Astyanax mexicanus: one gene and its partner. The protein of the gene in region 2 purifies or fractionates together with the protein of the main gene of each other region. This does not show direct contact. Links are inferred from orthologs where the notes say so. Each region holds a gene or a part of one and is shown on either strand. Other genes may lie near its edges. The genes, in order: akt1s1 and mtor.

Region 1 (12,419 bases), on a different chromosome or scaffold from region 2:
GACATTTCCACCCCTACAGGCTAGTGTATCTCACCTAAACTGTGTGGCTGGATTATTTATGCAAACCCAAACATTGGATCGGATTGGTTTTGGTTAATATTCGACTGATATCGAACATCCTCACCTGTCGATTCATTCAGATTATGTCTCCGTCCGTCCATTTCATCTTCCTCCCCTTCCTCCTCATCTTCCTCCAGATCCACGATGCCTGCCCTCTCCCTTGCTCTCTCCGCCTCCTCCAGAGCCACTCGTTCTCCCTCTCCGTTGCCAAGCTGAACCACAGGCTGGCCGATCCCTGAGGCTTGGCTGTAGATCGATGGGTAATTCTGAGAATAAAGCCTTGCACTGGGGCTTACGGAACCTGAGTCCCCAATCATGGTCTGCAAAAGAAAAAAGTTTCTCAATTTAATAAAATTAAAAAAAAAGGAAAAAAAAAAAGAATAATAATTATATATATATATCTCCTCATAAGACCCAGTTTTAGCTTGCGATTAGTTATGAGAAATGAAGGGTACGGGAACAGCACTTTATCTGAGGAGCTCCTGCTGCTGTTTCTCACTGTATGAGCGTATTTATTCGAGTAAAATATAAAAACAACAGCAAACAGGTGGGGATGGATGGTTGTGGGTAAGGTGGAGGGGATTTAAAAAAAAAGATAGGAAAACATTGTCCGTTTTTGTAATGCACTATATTGTTACTGATCTGATACTTATCTATAAAACTTTCAATAAATTCTTGATTACAGAAAAACAACAACAGCAAACGGCAATTATTCGCTCAGAGAAGAAAAAACAGACAAATAGAATTGCTCAATCGATCAACAGAGAAAAGTTCTGAGTACAGCATCATTTCATTCATTCATTTATTCATAAACATTGAACTTTGTCTATTTACAGGAGGTTGTTTCTGCAAAAAACATCCTTAGTATGTCCTCAAATGGGGACATATATTTTTATTTAGTTTATTTTAATATTTTAATTGAGTGTAATGTTGTCACTGGGCTTTTATTTAGATTTGTGACTTACTCTACTGTTAGGAGTACATATAATATATAACACCAAGGCTTTAAATTAAGGCTTTGATTACTATTGGGTTTACTTTGTAACACAAAATTACACAGTATATGAAGAAATCAGACTATAAATATTATTAATGTTCTTCAAGCTACAGTATTAAGTTTATTTTAGCACTTTTGCTGAATAAATAATTCTTTACCCAGGACCGATTCTGTGCTGGTCCGGGTGACAATTTCTCTTTTCTGAGTGAATAATTGCTGCTTGCTGTTGTTTTTGTATTTTACTTGGGAAAAAACCTATCCGAGTCATATCCGAAGTCATATAGTAAGAAACAACAGCAGGAGCTCCTCAGATAAACAGCTGTTTCAATTTTTCTCAGCTCTGAGCTACCATTTCTCCAGTATATTAGCTCGTTATTCTACCATTAGCTTGCGAGCTGTTTTTGCTTCTTTGGTGCTGTTCTACACGCCACTCCGCAGCGACTCTAGAAGTGTGGCTTATGTACAAAATGTATAACACTAGCAACTGCATATTTTCTTACAAATCATGTAGTTAGTTCTGCAACATTTAAAGTAAAAATCAATGTATTAATTAAGGGACATTAATTAAAATTTCACTTTTTAGTACTGATATAATTTTTCTATGTGTCAAAACATTGTGTATCGTGATGTAATGATTTTACCATTCTGCTCATTGTGTCCTCATGTTTTTAGTGACTGTAGCAAGTGCATTATATGCATCAGCACCGCATGTTTTATTACAAACAGGTTTATTAGTGCTGTTAAACTGAATGTAGTGTAGCAGACTTCAAATTAAAGTAATTGTTCCTGCAGTATCGCCCACCTCTACTGTGACTGAGGAGTTCATGCATCACTCACCGGCCTATCAGAGGGCATGTCCACACCTAGCTTGGATCCTCCATCTCCAGAGCTGAGGCGGGTGTGTCTGTGGGCCGTGAGCACCGTGGTGGAGTGAAGGACAGCGATGTCGTCCATGTACCGCCGTGAGGATTCAGCCAGTGCACCCTGACCCCACACATGATATGAGTAATCCCACTTACGGCCTCCATGGGGCACGACTCCACCCCCTTCATGCTTCTTCACTCCGTCCCCCTCCACACCCGAGGGAAGGAACTTTTTACAGGCGGTCAGTATGGCCAGGTCACAGCCGGATTTCTGGCAGTAGGCTTCGGCCGCGGCAAGGAGCGCCAGCCAACTTTCTTTGTGGTTGTCTGGAATCTCGAGGTCAGATGATTTGGTGATGGAGGCCATGGTGAAATATGGATCTTATTTTTTTTTTTCTTCTGAAATGTGGAGATGCTGGTATCACATCAAACAAGATGCTTCTTATGCTCAAGAGGTGGCACTATGTAGGTTATCTTTGCAGTTACTTACTCTTTTTCTTTGGTAAATGAATGCAGCTTACTTCGGTGTAAATGCTGATGAGACTTTGGATGAGGCACAAGTGGACGGCCGTGTCTGCATGCAGGAGAGAACTAGGGGAGAGACGGGAGGATGGCACTCGCTGATGTTGCCTAGAAACAAAAAAGCACATGTTATATTGAAAGATCTGGTTGTTCTTGTCTGTTCTTGCACTAAAATGTAGATTTTGTAATAAAAAAAAAAAACGTATGTGTAAGGGACCATTTAAAAAGGCTTTAAGAAGTCAATGTAAAAGTTCTTTACCAACAAAGACAAAGATTGGTCTTTTGCAAAAATTGTTACTGTATCTGTTGTATCACTTAAAGAACCCTTTGTAGCACCTTTGTAGCCCAAAAGCCCAGATATCCAGGGCTGAGTTTCCCAAAAGGTTCTTAGCACCAAGCTGGCCCTTAGGCTACATTTACATTACCAGCGTGAAGTGACTCAAATCAGATTTTTTTTCCCTCAATGTAGCTGAGATCTGTTTTTTTTTTTTCATGGCTGTGTGAACATGCCAAATCAGATCGGACATGTATCCAATCCATGGACATGTGACATGAATGTGAACGGTCAAATCTGAATTCATGCATCTTTTTTGCTTTTATGCATATTAGCTTATTAGCTATATAAGTGCTTCTCTCTCGTACCCACACATCTCTTGGTGAAGCTGTGCAGCTATAGCTGCAAAAACAGCAAAAGCAAACCGCCTCACCTTTTTTCACCTCCTCAACCTGAGCATGTACTTCAGACCAGCTGTTTGATAATAAACGTTACAGCAAAGTCTAATTGTAATTGTATTCGAAATTGTTTTTCAAAAAGGTAAGTAAAACAGCAACTTTAAAAATGTAATAAATAATCATAAAATTGGAACAAAATGAGTGTTTTCCTGAATACAAATCAAACATTTAATGTCCTCCAAACCTTTCGTTTTGTAAAGGTTGTCTAGTTTTTATGTCTATTTTCTAGGGCTGCAATCAATGATTATTCTGGTAGTCAACTAATCTGATGATTATTTTTTCCATTAGTCAATTAGTCAACAATTATTTCTGCCATGTCCCCTACTTATAAAAATGATAAAAACAGCCGAACATGAGATTTAAAAGGCATATTAATGTCTAGATGATGTTCAAACATGGAAAGTAGTAATATTTGCTGATTAAATCTGTTGAGTTTGTCTGTTGAGCACTTTTGGAGAGACAGACTAAAGCTGAATGTAAACTGTGTGAGTGAACCGTTTACCCATCTCCCATTGCACTTCTGTCCCCAGCACTTTGTGTAATGCGTTACTGTTACAAATTAAGATAAGTGACAATGAAATTTGTTTTCGACAAATTTAAATAATTGATACTCTCGATTATATCGACTAATCATTGCAGCCCTACTATTTTCAAATATTTAGAATCTGGGTTTGATTCCTGTTACTGATCTGAAATTGGAGTAGATGGTGAAAAGGAAGCTTTTCCATGTAACCTGTAGGACTCTTCAAAACCCTCAAAGTTTTCAGAATATAAATATCATATTTTACTGCAGAGAAAGACAGTTTTGCATGATCTACACTACACATTATCTACGCCTGTATGCGTTCCAAACCCTGTAAATGGGTTAAATCACTTATATTGTGGACAGGGGTGAAGCCTGGTGAATATTTTGAGGAGCAGTAGTGTTAGCTAGCAGTAGTGTGAGCAGGAGCTGAACTGAACAATGCAGTGTTGTTGGTGAAAACAGCTCTGTTTGGTAAGTTAAGCTGTTTTGCTGGTGCAGCCCTCGTGCTCCTCGTGTTAATCCTCTGGGAAATGGTTCTGCTAAACTCCCACACCCCCCTTACTGCCCTTTCACCCTCCAGCAGCTCCAGCAGCAGCGCAGTGACCCTCACAGCTTACACCGACCCGCAGCTCCGCTCAACCAGCCACACACACACAACTTGAGCTGCGCTAGGCTAAGCTAAGCTAACCGAGCTAGCCTGAGCTCCTCACAACTTCACTCTCGGTAAAACATGCAGCTTTTCTCACACACGCACAAAATTCCCCACATTTAAACACAGCCAGTAATTTACTCACACACTCAGTATCCTCCCGCTTCTGTCACAAGCGTCTTTACGGTGTAAAACCTGCTGTTTTTGCGCTGTTTATGCCGTTCGCCTTTCTTTCTCTCGCTCTCCCCTAGACTCCAGCGGGGTGACGCACACATCACGTCATCACGTAATGCAACATATCAATTTATATTAGTACAGAATTTATTTTATATTTTATAATTTTGGATACTGCTAACATAAAGATAACGCAATATACCACAAAAAAAAATTATCATAACATAATTTTATAATTAATAATTTACACAGACGTTTATAATTAACAGAGCTTTTATACTGCTCATATAAAGGGTTCATTTCAAAGTGAATATGATAATAAATGCCCAATTTAGAATCGCTAAGGAATTTATTAAAAAATGAAAAAGATTCAATGAATTTATGCTGATTAGACCCACTTCAGTGTGTTTTCTTAATAAACTAATAAGCTAATTATCACTTTATTATTTATAAATAAAAAACAAAAATAAAATCATGGAATCGTATCATGGAAGCTTGATTTCTGAATAAATTTGATTTATAGTTATTCGTATTTTTAAACATATATATGTACACACTTTTTGTTCTTCTTCTACCTTTTATTTAGTTTAACAACTGAACTAATTTCTAAATATTTTTTACATTTTTGAATAAAAATGACATACTAATTAATAAACTACTTCTAACCTTATTCCCAGCTCCCTATCTTTTCCTTTTCTATCCGACTATTACCTTTTGGCCTCCTAAAACGTTTCTGCCTTCGACTTCTACTGCTAATGTACATCAACTGTGGTAAAGTTAGTTTTTAAACCGCAGTCATCATCATTATTTGCAAGTCGCTAAGTCCACTAAATACAATATATAATAGACTATAGATTATGTCCGTAACATGTTTTTTTATGCTGTACACCACATCTTTTATAAATTGGCAAGTAAATAAGCCAGTCATAGTATATGACATAGTATATATGTGTGTGTGTGTGTGTGTGTGTGTTAGGGGTGGGCAGTATTATATCATACAACAATATATCGTGACACAGAAATATCATGCTATTAAAAATCCATATCGTGATAATAGGGATGTTCTGTCTTAAAAGTAGTCTATTATTTACTGTGAAGCCTTAAGTGAATGTATTGTATAATTGTTTAATTTTGCAGTTTATATGCATGCACTAAATGTTCTGCAATATTTTTTGCTGCATTATATTATTTTATGCTATATTATTTATTTTTCCACATTATGATTATACTGTTAAACTTTTATACTATATTCCTGAAATTAACAAATTATTTCTGGTTTCCTATATCGCCAAGTATATCGCTATCGCAAAAATTCCCTGAAATATCGTGATATTATTTTAGAGCCATATCGCCCACCCCTAGTGTGTGTGATTCAATATGTGATTGAATATTCGCACAAAATTCCAGGAATTCCAGCAGATCCAGATTCCATACCTCAGATCAGTTATACAGGAAACTCACATGTGGGTTCTTTTACCTTTTATTTAGTTTTAAACCTGACATTAGTTAATCAGTGGCTTTACATTTCTATATCATTTGTATCATTTGCTCCTTTTATTCTTAAGTTATTTTATTTTTTTAATGTTTGATGCTGTTAATGTGCAAATATTATACACATTTTAATAATAATAATTCCAGTTGTGGCTAGGAGGCACACTTTTTAAAATATTAAACAAAAAGAGCATTGTTATAATGATATCCATTTAAGATGATTACTACCACATAATTTTTTTTTCTTTAATAAAAAACTTTCTTATTATTTATTTTATTGTTTATTGACTACGTCCATGATGTTTTTTGCAAGTGAATGGCCAGTTTTTTTAGTTAGTTATATTCCTAATATATATATATATATATATATATATATATATATATATATATATATATATATATATATATATATATATATATACATTTTTGGACTATGGTGTTGTAGATGCATAGAATTCATATTTATTCGCATACATTTAATATGTAAAACTATTTTGACGTCTAAACACGTAATACTTTCTCTCCTCGCCGTCTTCATTATGATCTTCTTATCTGATTAATCCAGTTCAGTGTCGCAGTCTTTATGCTGTTTATATTTTTTTAGTATCTTTATTGTTTTATGTTTCAGTCACTAGAACCAAACAATAATATAAAATAATGAAATATAAGTGAGAAAAAACTAAATAAATATGACGTTATTTTAATATAATGTGCTTATTTTTCCAAAGTAAACAAAACGTCACTGAAAGCACGTGACAGAGCATGTGATTGGTGGGCGAGGCTTGGCTAGGCAGGCGGAAGAAGCCCTGCTGTTTTGGTCACATTCTGTCGATAGGCAGAAAATCGAGGAATGGAGACAGAAAATCGCAAGGTGAGTGAAAATGACAGCACACACTGAGTATTTAGCACACTGAAAAATATGGTAAGACATATAGCAGCAGTTATTGGTTTCTTTGTGCCTGTTATATCGGTTGCTTTCTGTGTCAGAGTCAAAATGTGGCGTCTGACGGTGAAAGCTGGAGAAGACAGACTGAGAAACAAGAGTTTCAGTTTAGTAAAAGTCAGAATTAGCTCAGTTTCAGAGAGGCAGGTCAGTTTAAAAGAGATAAACGGGTTGTTTACACGGCTGATAACACTCTGTCACAGTGCGGTGTTGTTGGCAGGCCTGTGAGCCGTTGTGTTTTAGGGAAATGAACCTGATTGTCAGCTCTGTTAAGACCAGTTTGTACATTAAATGCAGCTGGTAGCTAAACCACTGAGTAATTGAGTCTGATCAGTGAATCAAGTATGACATTCCAGTGCCAACGCCCCCACTTAAAACCCCCAGTTAATACACCCATAAATAAAATCATATTTAACATTTAAACAATACTTAGATGTGGAGGTAATATAGCTAAAGACAAAAAACTAAAGAACTGTTTAAGCATTATTTACAAAATGTCATTAAACACATTGTAAATTAATACTACAGTCATCCAAACTATGAAGAAAAACATATTATAAAATTTTCAAAGTAGCATCTATTGCTTAGATAGAGCTAGTTTTGCACATCTTGGCTGGAATTTCTAAATCAGCTTGATGAGGTAGAGTCACCTGGAATGGTTTTCAGTTAACAGCTGTGCTGAACTAAATTTCTTGCCTCTTAATGTGTTTGAGAGCATCAGTTGTGTTGTGAAGAGGTAGAGTTGGTATAAAGTAAATAGCTCTATTTGAGTAATGTTCTAATTCATATTATGGCACGAACTACTGATCTAAATAAAGAAAAAAATAATTTAGGAAATGAAGCTCAGTCAATCCTAAATATTTGAAGAACTTTTCCCCAAGTGCAGTTGCAAAGATCATCAAAATCACTGGCTCTCATCAGGACTGCCCCAGGAAAGGAAGACCAAGGATAAGGATAAGGTCAGGGTCATCAGATCACAAATTAACAGCTCCCCAGATAGGAGCCATCTAATGCTTCACAGCGTATTTTGGTTTGTTAAACACTTTTAAGTTACTAGATGATTCCTTATGTGATCCTTCATAATCTGGATGACTTGTGTATTCATTAACAATGTAGAAAATAAAAACATTGAAAAGAGAAGGTGTGTCTAAGCTTGGACTAGAACTGTATGTTTAATGTAAACCAAACAAAGGTTTTGCGCACAATGATCCATACCTACTTTAAAGCATGGAAGTGTTAAGGTTAACATGTCATGTTTAGCGGCTGCTATGTTGCAGGAAGTCCAGGCAATCTCTCCAGGACAGATTCTACTATGGCTTCCTTATTGTATCAGAGCATGCTTTAGGAAAACATGAGACTGCATGTGTAAAAAAATAAATAAATAAACTAAAGTTGAAGCAGATATGGGCCCTGCATCAAGGAATGGCCCATTGAAAGAAAGTGTTCAAGTCAAAACTTGGATCAGTTCAGTGTATATTTTTGTTCATTAGAAATGGCACAGTACCTGGTGGATACTGAGGTCCACCACTGAGCTGCCATGCTGACCCTCAGTAACAGTACTTTCCCTTAGTGTTGCCACTCACCCAACACACATGTGAGTGTGAGTCATGAGCTAAGTTGTCCTGAACTGAAATCTCATTTGAAGTTTAAAGGTGATGTGTGTGTGTGTTGTTTAATCACAGCTGATCTTTGAGAAGGAGGGGGTTTACCTTCACACAAATGCCAAGAGGAGTAACCAAGACACAACTATTCCTGGATTCATCCGTATTGTAGAGAAGGTAAGGGGCTGATAGGTAGTAGTTGTACATTAATGATATCTAAATACAGCTCTGAAAAAAAAAAAAAAATTGAGTAAAATGAACACTGTTGTTTTATTCTAAAAAATACAAAAAATTCCAAATAAAAATAGTCATTTAAAGCATTTATTTGCAGAAAATGAGAAATGGCTGAAATAACAAAAGATGCAGAGCTTTCAGACCTCAAATAATGTAGAGAAAACAAGTTCATATTCATAAAGTTTAAATAGTTCAGAAATCAATATTTGGTGGAATAACCCTGGTTTTTATTACAGTTTTCACGCATTTTGGCATGTTTTCCTCCACCAGTCCACTTATGCCACTCCTGATGGAAATATTTAAGCAGTTTAAGTGGTTTGTGATCATGCATCCTCCTCTTGATTATATTCCAGAGGTTTTCAGTTCTCAAAAAACCCATTTTTAAGTGGTCTCTTATTTATTTCCAGAGCTGTATTTGTATTGTATTGGTCCTGAACTCAATAGCAGTTACACAGTTACAACCATTATATTCCAAAAAATGACAGTGATAGAAATATATACCATAAACGTTATATAATGTGCTGTACAATACAGAATTCAAAATAGTTTAATAATGGGAGTTGCACTTACTCTAGATCCTGTACAGATGCTATAATTAGAAATATGTGTAAATGTTAAGAGACACAATTCTTCACACTATGACAGTATGATTACTGTTTGTTTACTGCATTTAACATGTTCCCAAATACCTTAAAATTAAGATTTACAAAATCCCTGCATGGTGCTGCTTTAAAAGATTATTTTTTACATTTTTAACCGAGTAATAAAAGTCTGTTTTATATTTTAAAAAATAATCCTGCTTGTTTATATTATTTAAAAAAATTGCTTTAAATAAAAAAAATGTTTAGAAAATAACTGCTTTGTGAGAATATGATGATATATTCTGGCATTATGATGCTCAGATGCTCTTGGAATATAAATCTTGAGAATTTAGATAAAACAGGTTTTCTTTTTGAAGTTAAAATCTAAAGGTATATCATAATAGACCTAGGTTTTTCAATGTACCAGTCCAACCTCTTGATTTTGTATTGAAACACAATGAAAATGAAAAAATGAAAAGCAATTGTTGTTGTTTATTACAGTTTTCTTATTGGTACATTTTTTTAAATCCAAATTCTCAAAAATCAGTGAACTAAATTTTCAAGTTTTCTTAATTCCAAATATCAAGCTGGCCAAATAATGTCCTATTTAAAATCCTTGAGTCTCCAAAATGTCAACTTTACAGAAGAAGGAAAATACCTTAACTTTCAGTGGACATCAATGATAAAGACTTTATTTCAGGTCATTTTGGTGCAATTCTATTGCTCCATTCATCAAAAGTTGAATAAATAATTGATAATCCAGAGGGAAAAATGTGTTTTAGAATTACATGTGTTTCTATTATGTTTAAATTCGAACAGGATGGAGAGTCAGTATTGGAGTGGAGCCCTGTTCAGGATGATGGGAAAAACGCACCTGCTGTCTTTTATGCCAAAAAGGTTATTACGTTATTACGTCATTACGTTATGAATGGAAGTTTACTCTATTAAACCTAATAACTTAATTTTCCCTCATCCCTCTCTTTGCTTTTTTGTGTTGTTATAAAAGGATGGGGAAGGAGGAGAGGAGGAAACCAACTTTGACCCGGGGTATGAGCCAGACTGGGCCGTTATCGGCACAGTGAAGCAGAACCGAGAAAAAGAGAAAACACCCGTCAGAGACACAGGTACTGTTCATCTGCGGTTTATAGAGTTTCACACTCACCAGGAAACAGAAAAGTGTTATTAGTTACGCTAATGGCCAAAAATACCAGCATCTCTGCACTTCTTTCAAAAGATGCACCACTTCTCCCAGTATATTTCTTTACAGTTAAACAAACTTGGCGTTTGGTTCTCGTTTGTTTCTATATTTTGCATCAGGACAAAGCAAAAAAAACAAAACAAAAAAAAAGTTAAATGGGATTACATTCCACAGAAAACCCCAGAAGTGGACTTGAAAAAATATTGGCACCTTTTTGTGAGAATTATGAGAAATATTTGAATATTTGAATTTCAATCATGTAATTTTTCTTTAATTAGTGATTATAATAAGTTTTAGGAGGTGGTAATATTGAGATCACATGTTTAGCGAGTTTAAATGAAGAAAAGTTGACTCAGTCATAGTGTCTGTGTACCACACTACGCATGGAGAAACTACAAAAGAGTAGGGCTGGGTATCGTTCTTAAATTTTCAATACCGATACAGATATTGACAATTTCAAAACGATACCCACTGTATATTAGTATCTTTGTATATTAATATTTCAGGAGAGAGAGAGAGAGAGAGAGAGAGAGTCGAGTTAGCCAGAGCAAGCACCTGAGATTTTAGCACAGCGGCAGTGTGTCAACAGTTTGAATGATCACCGCTAACAGGCTCACCACATTTCTGCGTGCGCTCTCCAATTGTGTGTGTCAGGGCGCCATCGTGGTTGTTTTTACATCGTTGTGTACACTCTCCGCGTTTGTCGTGTTTTTTTTTTTGTTTTTTTTGTTTTTTAACCTTTCGGTACTACATTTTGGTCGGTGCCTGCGAATTTCGATACCCAGCCCTACAAATGAGTAAAGAATTATTTGACCAGGCCCCATTAAGATCAGGCCGAGCCTCTTGCATTCAGCCCAGGCTTGGTAGCTTAGGGTTAAGAAGCATTTGAGAGAAGATCAAAATGCTATAGAGACCTATAATGTGTGACTGAAGAGGCAGACAGAGGCTGGCAGACATGGTTGTACCCTGTGGAGAGAAAGAAGACAGTGCGACGGTTGATGGGAGGTGGCAGAAAGAGGGAGGAGCTGATCTGGTAATCATGGTCAGGGGGAAGAGTGTAGTGGCTGGCCACCACTATTGATCCTCCAGCAGGAGAGCATTCTGGTTCAGGATCAAATCAGCCAGTGATTGGTGGTGGCCACCTGATGACACAAACCCCTGGCCAAAGGCTCCAGTCATTGGTAAAAAACTGTAGGAGAAGGATTCTAGGATGTTAACAATATTTTTAATTTGTACTTTTTATTAATTTATGTTTTAATCTCATTTAAATATTATTTTAGAAATTCAGACACTGCAGTTATCAGCTTTCCATTTAGGCATCAGTTCTGCGTGTGACGTTTGTATAAGGCACCAGCCTAGTCTGCCCTGATTGGCTAGACACAGCATGGCATTCCAGTGTTGCATTCAAGTACAATGCAATCCAGGAAGCTTTGTGGCATGCAGCAGCTTTCTCCACTGAATTGAATAGGATGTGTTAAGGTAAAAGTGCAGGTGAAGGCACACCCCAGTTGCACAATGTTCTGAGAGAAGTGGATTTTGCATTTTCTTAAAGAAGTACAGGGGTGCCAACATTTTGGGCCGTGACTGTGTTTCAGCAGGATAATGAATAGGGCTGGGGTAGAGTGCTTTTATCTGCATTATTAACTAGTTTCTCTTCAGATTTATTTTCATGCCCAGATTACATTGGTAAAAGGTCATCAGAGATATCCAGGTTTTTATTGGAAACCTGAATAGAAAAGACACTACACATGCAGTATACTATATGAATGAAAATATTGGGTAGCTTTAATGACATCCCATTCTAAATCCACAGGCATTCATTTTGAGTCTGTCCCTCTGTGCAGCTCT
Region 2 (12,173 bases):
TACACGCTTCCCTGCCTAAAATGCTCCGTTATTATTGTCCCTTTTCATCGTAAATTGTCAATCTTTCCCCGCTTTAAAATACCTTCTTCTCAACTAAAACCTCTGCTGCCTGCTCCTTCTTCCTGTGCGTGGGTGATGTAACACTGAGCACGTTGTCACAATAAAAGCGTGAATTACCATGCACTGAGTTTTTTTAATTAATTAAACTTTAAATTACTCGAGACACATAAAATTACTTGCTATTTTTTTTTTTTATCAATTTACTCTAATTACTCGAGTAATTGTTTCACCCCTAATCATGAATACAATAAAATGTAACATTAAAGCACATTAAACAGGGTGGTTACCGGTGAAGGTGTGTGGTTGGAAGGCAGCGAGACGAGGGAGTAAGTTGAGAATGGTCATCTGGATGAGAGGATTTTTAGTAGTCCTGTATTTCAGAACCCAGCGACACACCTGAAAACACAGCAACATGTTCGTCATTTATTTGGACTTTTTAGAAGACTTATATATAATTAGCTGGGCAATTTGATTAAACCTTATTAATATATTAATAGATTATACCACAGTTTGTATACACACCATTTGTTTTTTTGTGTGCACTGATATCATCAGTAATTCTAAAAAATTAAGCATTAAAAAATATACAGCTCATTATTAGTCTTGATTAGCTGGATTAAGCCCACTGAATAAGCTGCTGGACATTTGTGATGGATGAACAGTTAAACAGGATTATTACTGAAAATGAATGTGTAGATCTCTGTAAAAGCACTGTTTACGGTCTGCATGTGCAAGTGGTAAAGATATGAGCGTAATGTACCAGGTTTTAGCCTAAAAAGATAAGCCTGTTGTATGTCACTGGAATTTTGTTTTCATGAGGTATATGCATATTTTTTGCCAAAAAAAAATGTATCAGTGTCAGAAATCACATACACAAATGTATTTGCAGTGTCCTGGCTGGCCAATGAGATTTGGAGTAAGCTTTCTCTTTTAGACAGCTGTATACTTACCTGATCAAATCGTTCCTCCATCAGTTCTCGACAGTAGCGGCTTTCTACCAGTGTGCTTTTGGATGGTGCTGGCACAGCGCCGAAGCTGAGGAACCCCTGCGGGCTGCTGTAGCCCAGAAGTCCCAGTAGAGCGTTGGATTGGGGCGGCTGCACTGACTGGAAGCTGGTGAAAGGAGTGATGTGCCGTGGTTTTGTGCCGAAGCCCATCAGCTCCTTACAGTACTTGTCATGAACCAGCTGTTGCTGAGTAATCTCGTCCATTTCTTCTCGCATCCGCTGAAAAGGAGAGAGAGTGTGAGGCAAGACAGGAGAGTACATGAGACACAGGAGGACAAGACCCCCTCCCACTCAACTAAGTGGCAATTTTATATTGTCAAACCTACTGTGAATCTAAAGTGACTATGACTTTTATTGTGATTAAATGAAAAAGTTTGTTATGTACTTGTACTTGTCGTTCAGATTAAGAATCTGCTTACCTCCCCCTCCATGCTGCTGATGCGGACCAGCTCATTCAGAATCAGCAAGGCTCCGTGGACCCTGTCGTCCTTGTTCATACCTTTCTCTTTGGCCAGGGACTCGTCAAAACCTTTCTCTGCCTCTTCAAAGGTTTGCTGTGAAAATAATTTCAAATTGAGTTGAAGCAACTAATCAATTTCACACATTTAATCCACACACAAAGCTCAGCTACAAAATGTCACATTTCTCACAAACTTTGCAAAAGGATACGCACTAGCCTTACCCACTTTGTGCTTTGCAATTATCCTCCTTGGTTATATATTTTAAGCAGCACAAACAATTTTTAAAGTTTCCAACCTTCTAAACAGATTTGACACCACCAAATGTGCCACACTTTCAGAGGAAGAAGTGACGTGTTCAGATAACCCTTTAGTCTGAACCTTGCAAATATACAGTACCAGACAAAAGTTTGAACACTTTGTCATTCAATGTTTTATTTTTTTTGTTCTGTACATTGTAAATTAATACTAAAGTCACCCAGACTATCCATGAACAAAGGAATCATGTAGTAATTTAAAAGTGTTAAACAAACCACCTAAGAATACCCTGTGAAGCATTTAAGTGCTCTAATCTGAGGTTCTGTTAACTCGCAGTTTTTAAGGCTGGTTACTCTGATGAACTTATTCTGTGCAACAGATGTAACTCTTGGTCTTCCTTTTCTGGTGCGGTCCTGATGGGAGCCAGTTTCATCTTAACTTTTGATGGTCTTCGCAATGTGCAAATCTGTCATCTAAGCTGTCATCTGAGGTGCTTCTTTTTTTTTCTTTTTTTTTTTTCTTTTTTCTCCCAATTACCGCACCCATTCAGCTGCTACACAGCTGTCCTCATCACTAGTGATGCCACAACACAAGGAAGGTGAAGACTAGCACATGCCTCCTCCGACACATGTGAAGTCAGCCACCGCCTCTTTTTGAACTGCTGCTGATGCAGCATTGCTGAGTAGTATCACAGTGCACTCGGAGGAAAGTGCAGCGACTCGGTGCTGATACATCAGCTTACAGACACCCCGACATCACCCTACGGGTGTTGAGGGGAAAGAGCGCCATCTACCCACCCAGACAGGGCAAGGCCCAGTGGCCTAATGGATAAGGCATCAGCCTTCGGAGCTGAGGATTGTGGGTTCGAGCCCCATCTGGGTCATGATATGCATGCAGGCAAGGCCAATTGTGCAGGGCCAAGCTGCATGACCAGGATTCAAACCAGCTCATAGTGGCAGCTGTTTAGACCACTGGAGCACAAGGCACCCCTTAAGAGGTGCTACTTTGAAGAATCTAAATTATAAAATATATTCTGGCTTGTTTAACCCTTTTTGTTTACTAAAAATGCCATGTTTATCGTCATAGAATGGATGACAATAGTCTTTTTAAATAATGAAAAAACTTGAGAAAACTTTGAGACATGTCCAAACTTTTGTTTGGTACTGTATTTGGCAAGACATTCTTTAATATCCAGCTTTGTCCATGGCATGGCAACCAACAGTATGGCACAAGCAAAACAGATAGACAATAGTTCTAAAAATGCTGGGTTGTTATGTTCATGGCAATTTCATTAGTATAAATACAGTCTCAGGTGACCTATAGAGCTTACCTTGTACCACTGAGGCTTCTGCATCTCCTTGGTCTCTCTCTGAGTCGTGAGGATCAGGCAGGCCCGGAGGGCAGAAACTGCCCCCTCGCGAATGGCCTGCTTAGAGTCCCACACTGCATAGAAGATGTTGTCGAAAAATGGCTGCACCTGCTGGAAGAAGAAGGTGGGTGCGCTGACGGCCAGTTCCCGCAATACCAGCACCTGCACAATGGACATTGTAATAGAATCCAGTCAAAACACATTATAGTCTACAATCGCAGTAATACTGATGTAAGGAATGTTTTATGCATACAGAGTGTCGATTCTACCAACCTGATAATACATAATACATGCCTCTCAACACGTTGAAATGTAAAAACAGGAGAGTCAACAGCCCTCCTGCTAAATATGATCTGATAATAACAGAGTAAGTGCTGTAAACTAACAAAATATGAAGAAAAGCATTTAATTGGTTACCGCTGCATGACGACGACCCTCATTCCTGTCTGCTCCCAGCCACTCCAGAGCCCTCTTTACTTCAAACTCCACATACTCAGCAGTGAACGTGTCCCCCGCCATAGACAGATGCCCCATGGCTTTAGAGGCCATTTCCATGACCACAGAGTCACTGGAGGGCAGCAGGTTGCGCAGGTAGTTGGCGAAACGGCTGATCCTGGTGGCATTGCCCCCCTCAACTCCGATCAAGCTCACTAAAAGAGAGCAAAAAAAGTAATCACTGTAACTGGATTCCCTGAATTAATTCCTGTTCCAACTGATACCTTATCAGAATGATGTTTTAGGTATTTTGTAGGAGGTCTGTTTGGATAAATATAGCAAAACATGTAAAATCCAAAATGATTACAGAAGGAATTATCATTTACAGTGGACAGAGCAGCAGGTGGTTATAATCGCCACCAGCAGAATTGACTAGAAATAAGTGACACTGGCAGAAATCACATCCACATTCAATGAAAGATACCCCAAAAGCATATCCTACAGGTCAATGGAGCATTCTTTAGCTCATGGGACATTACACTAGTTCCAGCCCCATGACGATTGTCATGGCAGTGTACATTTTTGACCCTGTATTAGAGATGGGAAGTTCAATATTTCTCTGATTCAGCCGATCCGTTTTGGGAGCTAAGTTGAACACTGCAGCGCTACTGTGTGGATCACTGTTGGGACAGTTTGGCCACAGGAAGCTGCAGTACCTTGTCCAGCCACTAGGTGCAACTCCCTCAAGGAACCCTGCATTCCAGCAGGCTGCAGCAAGACTCTCGTCAGCAGCCAGACCAGCTACAGACTCAGCTCAACTTAGTCGAGTGTGGGTTTCTACAGTTTATATGTGTAGGACTAACGTGCCTCGTGGTGGAACAGAATAAAGATGTTAACTCCACTAACCGGATAATACCGCTCTCCACAGTAATATTACAGCCAAATCAGTGAGTAGCAGAGCTAACTAGCTAACCACACACACCACCAAACGCTGCAGAAGTACAGCAGCTGCAGGAGTCAAAAAGCTAAAACAATCATATTCAGATTTTTAGTTATATTTTTTTACAGTAAATGTAGGTTATTTTAAGAAGTAAGATAACGCCAGAAAACAGGCATGTTAGGATACCCATTCCTGCAGAATTGGTGTCTAAGTAAACAAAAACAAATATAAAACTAAAACTATTTTATGCACATATAAATCCATTTATTTACAGTCAGGTTGTATTTCCAATGTTTGCTTAGAGGTGGCCATAATCAGGGGAATCTGTACCAAGTTTGCCTGGCTTCTCAGCGGTATTAATGTGGCATTTGGCCCAGCTAAAGATTGATATTGAGCTGAAAGACAATCGATAAATGAAATCGTCCCCAAACAGATTTATCGGTCTTTCTCTACCCTGTATTTGTAATTCTGAAAGCTTCTGTTGTCACCAAATGTGAAATGTACAATACATATATGTTGTACACTCAATCTGCATGAGAAAATAACAGTTAAAGTAAATAACTGACTGACCAACATAGCAATAATATTCCTGTATGAGATGAGTGTCCATAAACTGTGCATAACACTGTACTAAGTGCAATGGATTGTCAAAAGAATGAAGTCATACTCACCAATAGCAAGAATACCGCCCTTTTTCTCATTTACATCAGAGCTGGAGACCAGCTCAAATATGTGGTGATTCAGCTCATCATAGAAAGTGGTGGCTTCATCTTGGCTTAACTTTAATGTAAAGAACACAGAGGTGACGAGGGTTAGTATACGATAGCTTAGACCAATTTCAACAGAATTCTACAAAACAAATATGCTAGTGTAGCCAAAACATTACACATCGCCTCATATTTTACCCCCATTTTGCTTTCATTATTCGCAACAACAGACTTTTAAGCAACAGTTGCATTTATACTGTTCCATACTTCTCTCAGCTCTGTAGTGACATAATGCTGGAGGTCTTTAGCAGCTTTGGCCCTTGTGTCCTCATTCCGACTCTTGAGGCCACTCACGAACTGCTGCAGCACTGTAGCTGTGCCCGACATGCTGGCAGCAGAAGTACCGCTACCTGCGGTCTCTGCAAAAACGGGAAGACAAGAAGAAACATTTTGTTTGTTATGCATGTATGAACAACTTGGGTTAGGTGTTCTTTCCATCAGCCATTTATCGTTCACCAAAATTATAGTTCGGCCTATAATAACTTTAAATGAAAATCTCAAAGAAAAATTGCTGACCAAAGATACTCGTCTTATTTGCAGATCCAAGATCCCATGTATGTGGTAGAGAATTAATGCAGTGAAATCTACACGTTACACATATTCAAATATTCAGAAAAACCAATGCATATCACCTTTAAAGCAATGAAACGATCAACATACCTTTAAATATATTGGTCTGGAATTTAATTTAATAACGTAATTTTATAAATCAGTGACTCTGAGGGGACACTTGAAGAACTTATTAAATTAAGGGGGCAGATTTTGTTTTGCTAATAGAGTAAACGTTTACTAAATTGACAGAGCAAATTATTAAGCTTAGGGTACATTTTATTAAATTAAGGGAACAGATTGTTAAATCAAGGTCATTCTTTATTACATTGAGGGAATAGTTTATCTAATTGAGGGAAAATATAGTTAAATCGAGGGAATTCTTATTTTCTTTACATTAAGGGAATAAATGATCAAATTTAGGAAATTCTTTACATTAAAGGAACAACTTACTAAATTGAAAGAATTGTTTATTAAATTGATAAGAAAAACAGATGGCTTAATTTAGGAAAGAATTAATTAAACAAAGAAAGCACTGTAAGTACCTTTATAATGTAACCTATGTGTTTTGTCATAATGCTTTTTTAGCCATACCTAATGCATAGAAACGAATAGTAAATAAGCACTGTACCGCCACTTTTCTTTAAAATAATGAGGAATGAACTGGATTTTCAGTTCAGCTGAGGGAAGAGATTTTGTAATCAAAGGAATTATTTAACCTACTGAATTAATGGAACATATTTTAGCTGAGAAAACAATTTATTAGAACTGAGAGAAACAGATTGATGAATCAAGGGAAGGATTTGTTATACTGACAGAACAATTTATTAAATTAAGAAAACAGTTTAGTATATGAAAAGGACAATATTAAAACTTGAGAAAAACGAACCTGTTAAATTGAGGGAACGATTTATTAAACAGATAGACACTTTTAAGTCTTCACATGCTGTAACCTTTGTGGTTTGCCCAAACGTATTTTAGCCATAACTAATGCAGCTAGAGTTAAGTAGTTAAGCTAACGTAGCTTAACTAAACGTGTGTTAAATAGAAATGTTGTCATAGCCATACCATACACACAGTGCAGCGTTCTGCTGTAACACGGGTCACGCACACATTGTTATGGGTATAGCAGTTAGCCTGCCAGCTAGCCTCAAACTTGCCATGTAAAATTAAATGCTGTGGCCTGAAGATAACCTTAAAAAGGGCTGAACTGTGTAAAGCGGCAGCGGCTGAGAGGGAGCGGGTATATCTGAGCTCTGGTTAAAGCGGTTACCGGTCACTTTCCTGACCTGTTTAAACTCCCACAGCCGGGAAAACCTGCTAACTCTGGACTAGCCTAATGTGCTACAGTTAGCCTGGAGCCCAGTCAGTCTCAGTCTCAGTCTTAGTCTTAGTCTTAGCTGTGCTGTAAGCCGTTTACGGAGATAATTTAAAGCTCAGTAACAGTTAAATTAAACCTGAAGCAGAAGCACGATAAAACCGCAGCTGTTAAACCGGTTAAAACAGACAGACAGCTCTTACTTTTACTGTGTTCTCTCTCCTCTGAAGATGTTCTGTTCGCAAGGCTGCAGAGGAATACTGGGCGGGGTTTTTACCTAGCAGGACCCAGTCCACCAATAGGCTGAGGCTTGGCAATGAGTGACAGATTAATCAGCCATTCAGAAGCCGGTAAAACCGACCAGCGCACAGGAAGCCGCTCGGGATTTGTTGTTTAATCACAAATAGGGCTGGACTAGAGATGGATTCAACCAATCACAGCATTCTCCTTTCAGTGACAGAATGAAGATAGCCAAAGGGCCTTTCTTGTCAATCAGTAGAGTCAATATTCTTTTTTTGTCTTTTTTCCTCAAAAATGTTTTTTTTTTTTTTTTTTTTCAGGAATGTACAGACCACCACAGTGGAATACATGCGATTAAGCACCCAACATTAACAGTTTAAACTTAATGGAAGAATGAATCGATCTGAGTTTTATTATACATCCATGAGCACATATTACATTGTGTGCTAGAAAAGGTGGCAAGCCTAAAATGAATGGAATTGCAACCAAAAATGACAAAAAGATATTTTTCAAAAAAAGATCAACACAAAGTACAACTTATCTGCAAAAAAAAAAAATAATAATAATTTATAGATATACCCAAAATTTATTGAATGGTAACCAAATAGGGTTCTTCTATAATATAAGGATTGACAGGATATTTCAGTAATGGTCAACAATGTCTGTCTGCCACCCATCTTGGATTCCAGTGATGCTCACTTGTAGTTACAACAATTAACCAGTGAATGAACCTCAATGGAAGGGGGCAGTAGAGAACATTCTAAGGGCTGATATGCAATTCCACCATAGAAATCACTGCGTTTAGGAGAAAATATCATTTAAACAGCTTTCCACTGTAGTGACCGCTATGCACCAGAGCGTAAAAAAAAGGGTTGATAAAAATGCTTTTGAATTAATAATAGATTTGTATATGAACTGATTTGTTTCATAAACAGTAGCTTTTATAAAATCTAATTTTAATGGATTGCAACAGTGACTTAAAGCAGCACTAGGTAGGATTTCCTTGATTTTTCATCTTTTTAAAGAAGTAAAATTACAGCTTGAAACTCACTGCAGTGCTGCATTGAGGTGCGTGTCTGTGCCGGGATCCTCTGAGCTTAAACCAGACTCTGTAAGTTTTCCGAGAACTGCGACCTGCTTTCTGAACTTTAATTCTAACAGTTCTACAAGGACTAGTGGTTAATTCTTTACAAACTAACATACACACACTCTGGCACAAGCTGGAAAGAGACCGAATATGTCTGTGAAAACAAGAAAGAGAAACTAATCACCTGAAACATTTATTACACTCTACAACTGTAGGGGGAGCCCACGAGCACAAAATCTCCATCCTACCTAGTGGAGCTTTAAAGGTGCAATAAGTAGTTTTTGTAATAAGAAAATGAATTATATACACTACCGTTCAAAAGTTTGGGGTCACATTGAAACGTCCTTATTTTTGAAGGAAAAGCACTGTACTTTTCAATGAAGATAACTTTAAACTAGTCCTAACTTTAAACAAATACACTCTGTACATTGCTAATGTGGTAAATGACTATTCTAGCTGCAAATGTCTGGTTTTGGTGCAATATCTACATAGGTGTATAGAGGCCCATTTCCAGCAACTATCACTCCAGTGTTCTAATGGTACAATGTGTTTGCTCATTGGCTCAGAAGGCTAATTGATGATTAGAAAACCCTTGTGCAATCATGTTCACACACCTGAAAACAGTCTAGCTCATTACAGAAGCTACAAAACTGACCTTCCTTTGAGCAGATTGAGTTTCTGGAGCATCACATTTGTGGGGTTAATTAAACGCTCAAAATGGCCAGAAAAAGAGAACTTTCATCTGAAACTCGACAGTCTATTCTTGTTCTTAGAAATGAAGGCTATTCCATGCGAGAAATTGCTAAGAAATTGAAGATTTCCTACAACGGTGTGTACTACTCCCTTCAGAGGACAGCACAAACAGGCTCTAACCAGAGTAGAAAAAGAAGTGGGAGGCCGCGTTGCACAACTAAGCAAGAAGATAAGTACATTAGAGTCTCTAGTTTGAGAAACAGACGCTTCACAGGTCCCCAACTGGCATCTTCATTAAATAGTACCCGCAAAACACCAGTGTCAACATCTACAGTGAAGAGGCGGCTGCAGGATTTTGGGCTTCAGGGCAGAGTGGCAAAGAAAAAGCCATATCTGAGACTGGCTAATAAAAGAAAAAGATTAAGATGGGCAAAAGAACACAGACATTGGACAGAGGAAGACTGGAAAAAAGTGTTGTGGTAGGATGAATCCAAGTTTGAGGTGTTTGGATCACAAAGAAGAACGTTTGTGAGACGCAGAACAAATGAAAAGATGCTGGAAGAATGCCTGACGCCATCTGTTAAGCATGGTGGAGGTAATGTGATGGTCTGGGGTTGCTTTGGTGCTGGTAAGGTGGGAGATTTGTACAGGGTAAAAGGGATTCTGAATAAGGAAGGCTATCACTCCATTTTGCAATGCCATGCCATACCCAGTGGACAGCACCTGATCGGAGCCAATTTCGTCCTACAACAGGACAATGACCCTAAACACACCTCCAAATTGTGCAAGAACTATTTACAGCAGAAGCAGGCAACTGGTATTCTATTGGTAATGGAGTGGCCAGCGCAGTCACCAGATCTGAACCCCATTGAGCTGTTGTGGGAGCAGCTTGACCGTATGGTACGCCAGAAGTGCCCATCCAACCAATCCAACTTGTGGGAGCTGCTTCTAGAAGCGTGGGGTGCAATTTCTCCAGCTTACCTCAACAAATCAACAGCTAGAATGCCAAAGGTGTGCAGTGCTGTAATTGCTGCAAATGGAGGATTCTTTGATGAAAGCAAAGTTTGATGTAAAAACAATGTTATTTCAAATACAAATCATTATTTCTAACCTTGTCAATGTCTTGACTCTATTTTCTATTCATTTCACAACGTATGGTGGTGAATAAGTGTGACTTTTCATGGAAAACACAAAATTGTTTGAGTGACCCCAAACTTTTGAACGGTAGTGTACCTAACAATATAAATGTCTGAATCTTTAATATTGGAATGTTGTGAGGGCAAAGTCTTTCCTTCTGTAGCAGTCACAGAGTGAATAAAAAAAAACTTATCTGTATAAAAAATTTACTGTACCTTTAAAGACGAGTAACAAAAATGCCTTATATTAACACAATTCAATGTTAAATAATAAAATGTGGCTATGATTAATATATCAAAATCTTCCAATTTGTTCATTACCCATCAATCAATTATCTAATCAAATAAAAATAAAAATCATCTTTCAAAGTGCTTTTCAATCAGTTTTTACTGTGAACTCCCTGTATTTACTTTTCTTGTTCCCGCCCCAAGCATCTATAGGGTGCGTTTCCCAAAAAACATCAAACTTACCGAATAACAAACAAACTAATGCATGATATGAGAAAAGATTGAGCCAGTTCTGTAAGTTTTTCTTCCCAAAGAGCTTTGCAAATCGAAAATTAAACGAGTTAAAAGAACATCTTTGTTGACTCCTCCCCCTAAACAGCCCACAAACATCAATTCAGCACTGGCAAATATAGAACATGTATTCACTATTACGCCCAAAAACCATAGAAATGTGTTGTAATCAACATCCTTAAGCATATTCTGAAATAAAAAAAAAATCCGACGTACTTAGGCCTTGTAAAATACTCTTAAACACATAAATGACTAAATAAATAACACAAATATTTACAGTACCAGTCAAAAGTTTGGACACGCCTTTTCTCACTCAATGCGTTTATTTCTTCTTTTTATGATTTTTTACATTGTAAATTTAAAATCGACATTAAAACTATACAGGAGCTCATGCCGAACAAAAAGTTCTAATCAATACAGAATATGTTTTATACTTTAGATTCTTCTCAGTAACATTTATTTAAGGACAGATCTGCACACTTTTTGTATTCCATTATCTTGGTATTTTATTATCTATCTTGGTATTTTAATCTCAGTGTCTTCATGAGGTAGAGTCACCTGGAATAGTTCTCAGCATCTTAAAGGAGTTCCTGGAGGTGCTGAACTATAGTTGCTGCTTTTACTTCCTGCTGTGAAGCTCTAGCTCAATGCCCACCAAACCAACACCTGAGTTTTTACTGTTTACTACATAATTTCATACCTGTTCATTAAACTTTTGACTGGTACTATATATATATTGTTGCAAGCTGACAAAACTCAGAGTTTGCCCAGATAAATGGTCACAATGTCATTAAAAGCCTTTGTGAATTATATATTACCTGCACATTCACCGCAGAATCAGTGGGATTGTGTTGGGCGTGTGTATAGGGATAGGCATCCCATGTTTTGGACCTACAGTACCTGGGGTGTTCCCAAAGTCATGGAAATGTATTTTGCTGTCCTGTAATTCTCTGCCCAGTGGGAAATTAACATGGTGCATGCATGACCCAGTTAGAGAATGCACAGACTTGGAGACAGCAGCTTTGCTTAGACTGTGACCATCACCAGTTGTCTGCAGGAATTCACTGATTGCATTTATTGCAGCATTGATGTCGAGCTCTACCATCGCCAATCTGGATTTGAATAAGTTATGCTTGGGTTTTAGTGGTTAATTCAAAAGTGCCTAATTAGACTACAAGCTACAGACATGTGATATCATTATAATATAATGTAATATAAAGTAATATTATAATATACCATGGAAACAATTAATTTGCGAGTGAGTTTACGTACTACTTAAGTTATGTAAGGGTTTGGGAAACACTCTTTAATTAATGATTGATCTTATATTCTAGTTA

The links.
Region 1: the proteins of mtor (region 2) and akt1s1 purify together in Homo sapiens (affinity purification with western blotting; 8 studies listed by BioGRID and IntAct, with this or other methods). This does not show direct contact. The link is inferred for Astyanax mexicanus from reciprocal best matches to the Homo sapiens genes MTOR and AKT1S1.

What each region holds. Positions count from the first base shown.
Region 1 is NC_064426.1:17,846,571-17,858,989, reverse strand, and holds the start of akt1s1 (proline-rich AKT1 substrate 1), read right to left. Parts: upstream 4,615-12,419; 5' UTR 4,499-4,614; exon of another isoform or gene 4,495-4,498; intron 2,551-4,494; 5' UTR 2,288-2,550; coding exon 1,895-2,287; intron 381-1,894; coding exon 125-380; intron 1-124. Other genes in the region: tbc1d17 (TBC1 domain family member 17), read left to right, coding at 6,865-6,885, 8,640-8,735, 10,193-10,270, 10,380-10,497. UniProt on the Homo sapiens protein: Negative regulator of the mechanistic target of rapamycin complex 1 (mTORC1), an evolutionarily conserved central nutrient sensor that stimulates anabolic reactions and macromolecule biosynthesis to promote cellular biomass generation and growth.
Region 2 is NC_064419.1:17,748,555-17,760,727, reverse strand, and holds the start of mtor (serine/threonine-protein kinase mTOR), read right to left. Parts: upstream 7,430-12,173; 5' UTR 7,365-7,429; intron 5,654-7,364; 5' UTR 5,622-5,653; coding exon 5,502-5,621; intron 5,308-5,501; coding exon 5,199-5,307; intron 3,803-5,198; coding exon 3,570-3,802; intron 3,315-3,569; coding exon 3,114-3,314; intron 2,667-3,113; exon of another isoform or gene 2,594-2,666; intron 1,622-2,593; coding exon 1,487-1,621; intron 1,287-1,486; coding exon 1,011-1,286; intron 457-1,010; coding exon 348-456; intron 1-347. UniProt on the Homo sapiens protein: Serine/threonine protein kinase which is a central regulator of cellular metabolism, growth and survival in response to hormones, growth factors, nutrients, energy and stress signals.